Linked DNA regions of Xenopus tropicalis. The protein of the gene in region 1 purifies or fractionates together with the protein of each later gene. This does not show direct contact. Links are inferred from orthologs where the notes say so. Each region holds a gene or a part of one and is shown in the gene's direction. Other genes may lie near its edges. The genes, in order: lrrc41 and drg1.

The links.
Region 2: the proteins of lrrc41 (region 1) and drg1 purify together in Homo sapiens (affinity purification with mass spectrometry; 3 studies listed by BioGRID and IntAct, counting the BioPlex papers as one, with this or other methods). This does not show direct contact. The link is inferred for Xenopus tropicalis from reciprocal best matches to the Homo sapiens genes LRRC41 and DRG1.

What each region holds. Positions count from the first base shown.
Region 1 is NC_030680.2:93,241,015-93,245,590, reverse strand, and holds the start of lrrc41 (leucine-rich repeat-containing protein 41), read left to right. Parts: upstream 1-1,482; 5' UTR 1,483-1,617; coding exon 1,618-1,720; exon of another isoform or gene 1,721-1,897; intron 1,898-1,925; exon of another isoform or gene 1,926-1,998; coding exon of another isoform or gene 1,999-2,014; intron 2,015-2,801; coding exon 2,802-2,888; intron 2,889-4,576. UniProt on the Homo sapiens protein: Probable substrate recognition component of an ECS (Elongin BC-CUL2/5-SOCS-box protein) E3 ubiquitin ligase complex which mediates the ubiquitination and subsequent proteasomal degradation of target proteins.
Region 2 is NC_030677.2:152,075,755-152,080,118, forward strand, and holds the end of drg1 (developmentally-regulated GTP-binding protein 1), read left to right. Parts: coding exon 1-140; intron 141-2,196; coding exon 2,197-2,327; intron 2,328-2,459; coding exon 2,460-2,627; intron 2,628-2,724; coding exon 2,725-2,847; intron 2,848-3,563; coding exon 3,564-3,663; 3' UTR 3,664-3,782; downstream 3,783-4,364. UniProt on the Homo sapiens protein: Catalyzes the conversion of GTP to GDP through hydrolysis of the gamma-phosphate bond in GTP. Appears to have an intrinsic GTPase activity that is stimulated by ZC3H15/DFRP1 binding likely by increasing the affinity for the potassium ions.

The sequences.
Region 1 (4,576 bases):
AAATTTTCAAGCATTATAAACATCACTGTATATTATAATTAATTCCGTAATATAATTATACATTCAAAAGATTTTAAGAGTAAAATATCCAACAAGTAGAATACGAGTGAAAGAAGTGTATATAGTTATTTGTAACTTATTAAAAAACTTTATAAAACCCCATTACCTCAATGGACCAGGACCCCCATGGTGCCGTTTAAATAATTACCTTCTCAGTGATATTGGGGCATAAGATCCCCTATATATATATGTAGTTAATAATGTACCACCTATTGTAAAATATATGGATATTATAAGTCACAGAGGAATTCCATGACCTTATAAAAGCACAAGGCCAAAGGCTAAATGCCTAATATCTTAATATTTTATAACAGGGGGTACACTATTTATTATAATACACAAGTTTCAGGGAGATGTGACAAAAATGATATTACTAAGCACCGGTTATAACTGATGTCATCACTAAACACTGTTTATAAGCATATCATTTACAGGATATTCATAGCTATGTATTATATTATCATATAGTGCTGACATATTCTGCAGCATTGTTGTAGAGATTATACTGTAGGTAATTCCCATCATTCCCAGCCCCAGTGGAGCGTACAGTCTAAGGTCCCTTTCACATTCATAAACAGTAGAGACAAGTGTATCAGGAGCCAATTAACCTGCCTGTATGTTTTGGAGTGTGGGAAGAAACAGGAGTACCCATGCAAGCACAGGAAGATCAAGCAAACTCCTTTTCAATACCTTGTGCTCTGAAACAAAGATAAAAAAGGAGCTGGTAGGTGTGTGCATAGAAGTATCTAGTAGAATTAAGCCTAAAACAACTGGACTTTTCTGAGTTTTTTGAAAAATGTTTCACCACTCATTCAAGTGGCTTCTTGCCATTATGAACATACACACATATGTACATACACAGATACAATAAAAAGTGCTATAGATTGTAGAAGAACAGGACTGACATTTTTCATGTTCACCTAAGGTAATAGTGCTTTTTTCAAGTCACACTGACTAAATTCTCCCTGTAACAGGCATTTAAAGAGGTTGTAACAATCTCCTGGGATACATTCATTGATGAGAAGTCACCTAGACTTTTGAGTCTATCCATTAGTGGAAATACACTTTTCAGATTCAAAAGAGGCACTGGCATTTGTAGTAGGTAGGGCTGACCAGCCCCAGTATAAAGAGCCAGTCTATGGCACCTTACAGCACATCCTCATTTGCCAGAACAGATTGCCATTCCTGACCTGCTTAAAAATGTCAGACCTGATGTAGACAATAACATTCTGAGACAATTAGTCTATAATATTCTTTAGTTATTGATTTTTTTAATTTCCCTTCTTCAATCAACAATAAAGCAATTTAGAGGATACATGATAAAAAATCAACTGCCACAATAAGGCATTTGACCTTCGCAAGATGGCTAGTTAACGGCGATGCCACCTTCGACACGTGATCTAAACAGAGCTGTCTGACCTTCTCAAGATGGCTGCCCTCTATCCTTACTGAGAAGTGGCTCCTCGCCCGCTCTGTTCCCTCTTGACTTGTCCGCTGCTTTTGGTTTCGGTTTTCCCCTGAAATGAGTAAGTAGCGGTGATCAGGGTAACCCAGGCCATGGATCATGCGGTGGAAGATGCTGGAGGGACGGCAACCCTATTTGAGCTTTGTGCCAGGGTAGTGAATGCCAACATGGAGAAACTGGAACAAGACGTTTGGGGTAAGCCAGCGAAACACCAGGACTGCCTGGTGTCGTTCGGGGAATACTAGCATTCCTTTCATTCTCTGTACTCTACTGACAGACGGGGGTTGTGGTAAAATGCTTGTATCCCACTTGAGCCCCTAGTATTGCTACATTTATATCTCTCTCATTAGGTTTCTGTGGGAAGTATGTCGTTTCTGTCAGCCGTTAGAATTCACATCAGGTGGTGCTCTTAGAAAGATAAATACTGATCTATATCCTTACAAGAAGGTTCATGATGAACCAAAAGTACAATTATGCCAGAGACAGTGGGTAAGTTGGAGGGTTGCAGGTTAAGAATCCATGATCCATGGAAAGTTTCTGCTTTAAAGATATTTCCATTTAACCCTGATTTTACTGTGCATATGTGTGCGATGGACCCTTTTTCGTATTTAAATAGAGGATTGCAGGCAAGTGTGGTTTCATAACTACCACTGAGGTTTCTTTAGTTCCATCAACTTTAATGGATGCTAATGCAGTATGATATTACCCTGAAGCTGCTGTAAATAAGCTGGCTGTTCTGTCTTTCCTGTGCACTTTAAGGGCTCTGGCACACGGGGAGAACATGTAAGTCGCCGGCGGGATGGCAGACGCGGCGGGGCAATTTTTTTTTCGGCGATTTGCGCGAAATCGAGCCGCCGTGTCTGCCATCCCGCCGGCGACTTACATGTTCGCCGGTGGGATGGCAGGGGGAAGGCAACTCGGGGAGATTAGTCGCCCGCGAACAGGGAGTTTTGCCGCGGGCGACTAATCTCCCCGTGTGCCAGAGCCCTAAGGGTGAAGACACACTGAGCTACTAGTAGCAGCTACTTTTTCTTAAACTCTGGAAAATACCCTCCCATAGACAATACTGAGAATTGCCTCTGCTAAAACACATGTAGAGACAGTTATCAGTAAATGATCAGCATTGTCTGTTTTGGTAGCCACAACAAGTAGCTGCTACTAGTAGCTCTGTGTGACTTCACCCTAAATGTATAAATGTAATGGAGATTTTAGAATATAAGCCATTGAGAAACTATGGAGAAGATTATTCCTTATGTGGAAGTGTTTGTTCTTACAGGGCTGCCAGCTGTTGTCCTGCAAGGAATTCTGCCACTATTAAACATTTATTATCTTGAGAGAATAGAACAAGCTGCTGTTAAAAAAGGTATGGTTGTACAGTAACATTATATTGGGGTTTGACAGTTTTCAATTTAAAAAGTAAAAACTAGTTCCTGCAACACTGCATTAAAGAACCAGTATCTTAAAGAATCAAAATGATTAATTCAACCTGACATACTATATATTACTAAGCTGTGTATGTAAAAAAGTTTTATTTTTATTATTTATTTATTATTATTGTATCATCATCAGCCATCTGGTCTATTGTATTTAATGGAACTTTGGATAATACATAAAAAAGTGTCTAAGAATAGGACATTTTGTTACATACTAAAAGGTGTATTACCAATTTGAATGAATATTGTGTGTGTATTTATGATACTTTAATTCAGTGCTGTCCAACTTCTGTTGTACTGAGGGCCGGAATTTTTCCGACCTACGTGGTGGAGGGCCGATAATGGAAGCCAGTTTTGACCACTCCCCTTTTTGAAACCGCACCCACTTGAAACCACACCCATGTTATCACATGACCATACCCATATTAATGGTTGTAGTACAGCAAAAACCTGCCATACTCTGCCTGCCCTACCCTGCCTGTGTGTGCCATACTCTGCCTTCCCTACCCTGCCTGTGTGTGCCATACTCTGCCTTCCCTACCCTGCCTGTGTGTGCCATACTCTGCCTTCCCTACCCTGCCTGTGTGCCATACTTTCACTGTGTGTGCCATTCTTGGCTGGTTTGTGCCATACTTGGCCTGTGTGTGCCATACTCTGCCTTCCCTACCCTGCCTGTGTGTGCCATACTTTCATTGTGTTTGCCATTCTTGGCTGGTTTGTGCCATACTTGGCCTGTGTGTGCCATACTCTGCCTTCCCTACCCTGCCTGTGTGTGCCATACTCTGCTTGCCCTATGCTGCCTGTGTGTATGGCACACACAGGCAGCCTACAGTGACACAATGCTGGCACTACTCCTACAGTCTGCACAATAACTATATATTAAAAAACTTTTTAATTGCACTACCACCTCAGTATATGTTCTTTTTGTAGTGTGCAGGGATTATTTGTGGGTTTCTACTGCTCCTGAGGTGTGAACAGGGGAACAATGGGGGTGATTACAGCCTGAGCCTGAGGTGTGAACACTGCAGGGGGTGAACAATGCAGAGATTAAAAGGTGTGAAGAACACAGTGGATTACATTTTTAAACAATACAGAGGGATTACAGCCTGAATCTGAGGTGAGAACCATGCAGGGGGCCAGTTAATCACAGTACTGATACCATTTAAAGCTTACACAAGAGTAAGCCATCAAAGCAGTCAGACAGGTGGGGGGCCACACAGAGGGGGGTCGCGGGCCGCATGCGGCCCGCGGGCCGCCAGTTGGACAGCACTGCTTTAATTTATTGGTGGCGCTGGTCATTCAAAGGGCATGTTTATTCCTTGCGAGGTAGATAATTAGATTACCAGTATAAAGCCTCTCCCTTTTTCTTTGTTGTGACTGGTGTGTTAGCAGGATCTACCGCACAATGACCAAACATAAATTAGCTTCACTTTCTCTGCTTTCGCTTTATAGCTCAAAAAACATTTTTTGTGACCAAAACAGAAAGCAAAAATAATGTTCAGCACAAGCCCGATTAATAATACTCATGCTTAACAAGAAGGTATACTGTTCCTTTTAAGTAACAATATACAGTATATATATATATATATATATATATATATATATATATATATATATA
Region 2 (4,364 bases), on another chromosome or scaffold:
TTTTGGATGTACTGAAACCACTCGGACACAAGAAGATCATAGAGAATGAACTGGAGGGATTTGGAATCAGATTGAACAAGCAGCCTCCAAACATTGGATTTAAGAAGAAAGACAAGGGTGGCATAAACCTCACAGCAACAGTAAGCAAAGGACTTGGGTATAAAAGGGGAAATAACCAAGAGGCTCAGAAAGAAGAGAAACAAAATCAGATGTTTTTAAAGGGCATGTATGGTTTTCAATGCTAAAAATGCTAGCAACTGCTAGTAAACTGTGCAACTGCTAGTTAGAATATCCCATGATTAACTCAGGCTCATGTTATACTAGGCATGATTTAGTGGCATATATGCAGAGAGTTAGCCTCATGTTTTTGCAGCCCTGGAAAGCCTCTCAACAGCTAACTGTTCTAAAAACACCCAGTTTACTCCAGCAGAAAAGTTGTTTGTTCTTTAAGATCCTGTAGTGAAATTGTAATGAAAAAAATGAATGAATCAAGACCTTGTAAAAAGTGGCACAATCACTTATTTTTCAGTTATTCGTGTTTTAACCAAACTTATAACATATTTAAGGGGGCATAAATGGAAAACGTTGTCAAAGTTGTCCTCTTAATACTTTTGGCATTTAATTTTCTTGCGTGTTTTAAAGATAATTGTATCCTTACACCACTAAAAAGATTGCTTTGGCACAGCAGCTTTCTGTAAGGGCTGCTGAGTGAGTTACCTGGGGGTTATTTAAATATGCTAGTAGCAGACACAGTGAGATGACCCTCTCCGTATCACTCACTGCCTCCATCCGGAGGGATGTTACTCTCCTCATGCTCTGCCCAGCTTTCTAAGTCCCTTTTTTACTTCCAAGGTAAAGCAAGTCCAGGTAAAGCACATTTTCCTTTTGAAAGTGAATTTACAGCAGGACAGTGTTTACAGACAGCTAGGATACTGGCTAGGCAATTCCATGCTGCATTAAATAAGCAAATCCCAACTTTCAATTAAAAATAATGTGCATTTTTACATATATGATATATGTAAGGGACTTCTATCCATCCTTTTTTTCCTTTTGTATTTGACTGTATTAATCTGTTATGAGATTATTTTATTTTTTTTATTTTTTCTCCCCTGGTTTAGAGGTGTTAAATTACATATAGCCTTTCCCAAAATGCATCCGTTTCTTAAACTGACTGGCATGAGAGCTTTCCTTTTTCATTTCCATTGTGTTGTAATCCCCACAATATGTCAGCAATGGGAATGATTGGTCTAGTCCAATTCTAACTAACATGGCACTGCCAAGTACTTTCCTGGGACCTAATGCCCCTTTGCTCCCTAGGAGCTGAAAATCAACACTTACCAGGCGACAACAGCAGTAATAGAAGTAATTAATTGCAAACTGTACTGCTCTAAAGTGTAACGATGTACTGTTACTACAGAATGACAATGTGGGCTGTGTTGTACAAGCACAATCTTTAGTTTGATTACACACCCTCCCATTTAGACATAATTTCTAAGATTCACATTATTCACTATAGCCATATCTGTACATTGTAAAAAATGTTTTATGGTTTCATTAAGAAATTACTATTCATTAGGGCAAAGACATAAACTGAAATCCGTTTCAGATTGCCTTGTTTTTGCAAGAAATTGTGGGGGGTGAAGACTACCTAGTTTATTAAATTCCTCTGATAATCCCATTGTATAATGAGTTCCTTTTTTAACCTGAAATAGCACATTGGTCTTTAAAAGCAGATTTTAATGCAAAAATATATACTTTAGCAAATGTGGCTTATCCAACCGTTGGTATGATAACCAAGTATTGGATCATACAGCAGGCCTATAGAGATGATACGGCCATTGTCTGTTGGGATTTTGTAACCTAGACAGTAACATGGAGGAAATACAAGTAAAAACAAAACGGTGCTCTGTGTAAAATATGATTATTTTTTTTATTATTATTATTAAAAGAATACATGATCTGTGTAAAATAAGATTTCTTTTTTCAAATTAAGAATAGGCAGAAAATATTTTCAACAAACACAAGTATAATTAGAGCTTATACTTCTTTGAGTTAGTTATATAACAGGGTTGAGCGTTATGGCCACTTATGTTACCTAATGATTACAGCTGGCACTATACTCCGTTTCTCTGTGTTTGTAAATGATACATAACAATACCCAATATTAAAACTAAGGTCTTATTTTTATTTCCATAGTGTGCCCAGAGTGAGCTCGATAATGATACAGTAAAGAGCATCTTGGCTGAGTATAAGATCCACAATGCAGATATCACACTGCGCAGTGATGCCACTGCTGATGACCTGATAGACGTAGTAGAAGGTAATAGGTGAGTATGTGAATATAAAGCAACTCTGTAAGTGCACTGAATTTGTTGTTCAAGTTTACTGCCAGAGGAGGTGTTAATGAACTGTCAAGCTTTGGTCATACCTAATGTAGACTACTATTCATTTACTTGTAGGGTTTATATTCCTTGCATCTATGTGCTGAATAAGATTGACCAGATTTCAGTTGAAGAACTGGATATCATCTACAAAGTCCCACACTGTGTGCCTATCTCTGCCCATCACCGCTGGAATTTTGATGACCTTCTTGAGAAGATCTGGGATTACCTCCAACTGGTGCGAATGTAAGTCTGTTTGCAAGAAGCCATTAATGTAGATTAATCCAGTTAATGATTTCACGCTCTTAAACGTGATTGAGATGACCTTTTGTTCCTGTTACAGTTACACCAAACCTAAGGGTCAGTTGCCTGATTATACTTCACCTGTAGTGTTGCCGTTTTCTCGTACTGCAGCAGAAGACTTTTGCACAAAGATCCATAAGAACCTTATCAAAGAGTTCAAATAGTAAGTTGTCTTCTAGTAGTTCATGGCAGCCATCTGTTTCACCACATATTCTGCACATTCATCCATGATATTTGGGACTGAATATTTAAGTAACTCAGGTAGGAAGGTGCAAGTAAACCAGGGAGGTGTGCCAGTAATTTGGAGCCTTTTGCTTGGTATATTTGTGAAGGATTTAAGATGCTACATTTTTGGGGGGGGGAGTGGGGAAGCAGCAGACATTTTATATAATTTTTCTTCTGTTATAGACTGAAATATCTGTTTACACCCCCCACAATTACACTTGTTATAAGCTGTCACTGTACAACATGCCTTTAACACAAAACCGCTTTAAGTAGTACAGGTATGGGATCCCTTATCCGGAAACCCATTATCCAGAAAGCTCCAAATTACGGAAAGCCTGTCTCCAATAGACTCCATTTTAATCAAATAATTTAAAACTGATTTCCCTTTTCTCTGTAGAAATAAAACAGTACATTGTAATTGATCCCAACTAAGATATAAATAATCCTTATTGGGTTTAATTAATGTTTTATTGATTTTTTTTTAGTAGACTTTAAGGTGTGTGATCCAAGTTACAGAAAGACCCCTTATCCGGAATACCCTTGGTCCCGAGCATTCTGGATAAGGGGTCCTATACCTAGTAGTAGTAAAATATTTCTTTTATACAGAGGTGCATAATAAAGTTCATGAATCCAATATGTTTTTCTCCCTTGCAGTGCCTTGGTTTGGGGATCATCTGTGAAACACAACCCTCAAAAGGTTGGGAAAGACCATGTGTTGGAAGATGAGGATGTCATTCAAATTGTTAAGAAATAATTCACATATTAACCTGCAATTAGGCATGTCAGTTCAGTATTTCAAGCTGTTTATTAAACTGTGCCTATTTCTCAGGCAGCATGCCAATAAAGCAGTACATTTCATTTTCAGCAGATTAATTTATCTGTTTTTCATTAAAATTGCAGGACTGCCCCATTGTGTCTCCACAAGTAATTATAATGACTCTTGCAAAACATACGCAAGGATTTCCCCATCCTCACTTGACTAACCGGCTCCAAAAGATAAATTGCAGTAATGATGGTCCAGGCATTTTTTGACTATAAACAGTTTTTGCTGTTTTTGCCAAGAAGATGAGTTTGCACTATATAAACAGTTATTTAGTTAGATTTTGTTTGTGCCTGAATCAGTTATTTGGGTTAGCTCTAATACATCTGCTAGGAAATGGAGCCTCTCCCCCCCCCCAAAAAACAAATAAAAATATATATATATATTTTTTATATAATATATATATATTTCTCCAAAAGATATGTGCACTCCAGCGTAGATCAATTAGCTTTATTAATAACTTACATCATAGCTCAAACATCTGGATGTTTGAGCTATGATGTAAGTTATTAATAAAGCTGATTGATCTACGCTGGAGTGCACATATCTTTTGGAGAAATATACAAGGTACAACCCTATGTAGCACCTGCCCATTTTGCCTAAAGGATTAATTAAAGGGAGTGCGGACCTATTGG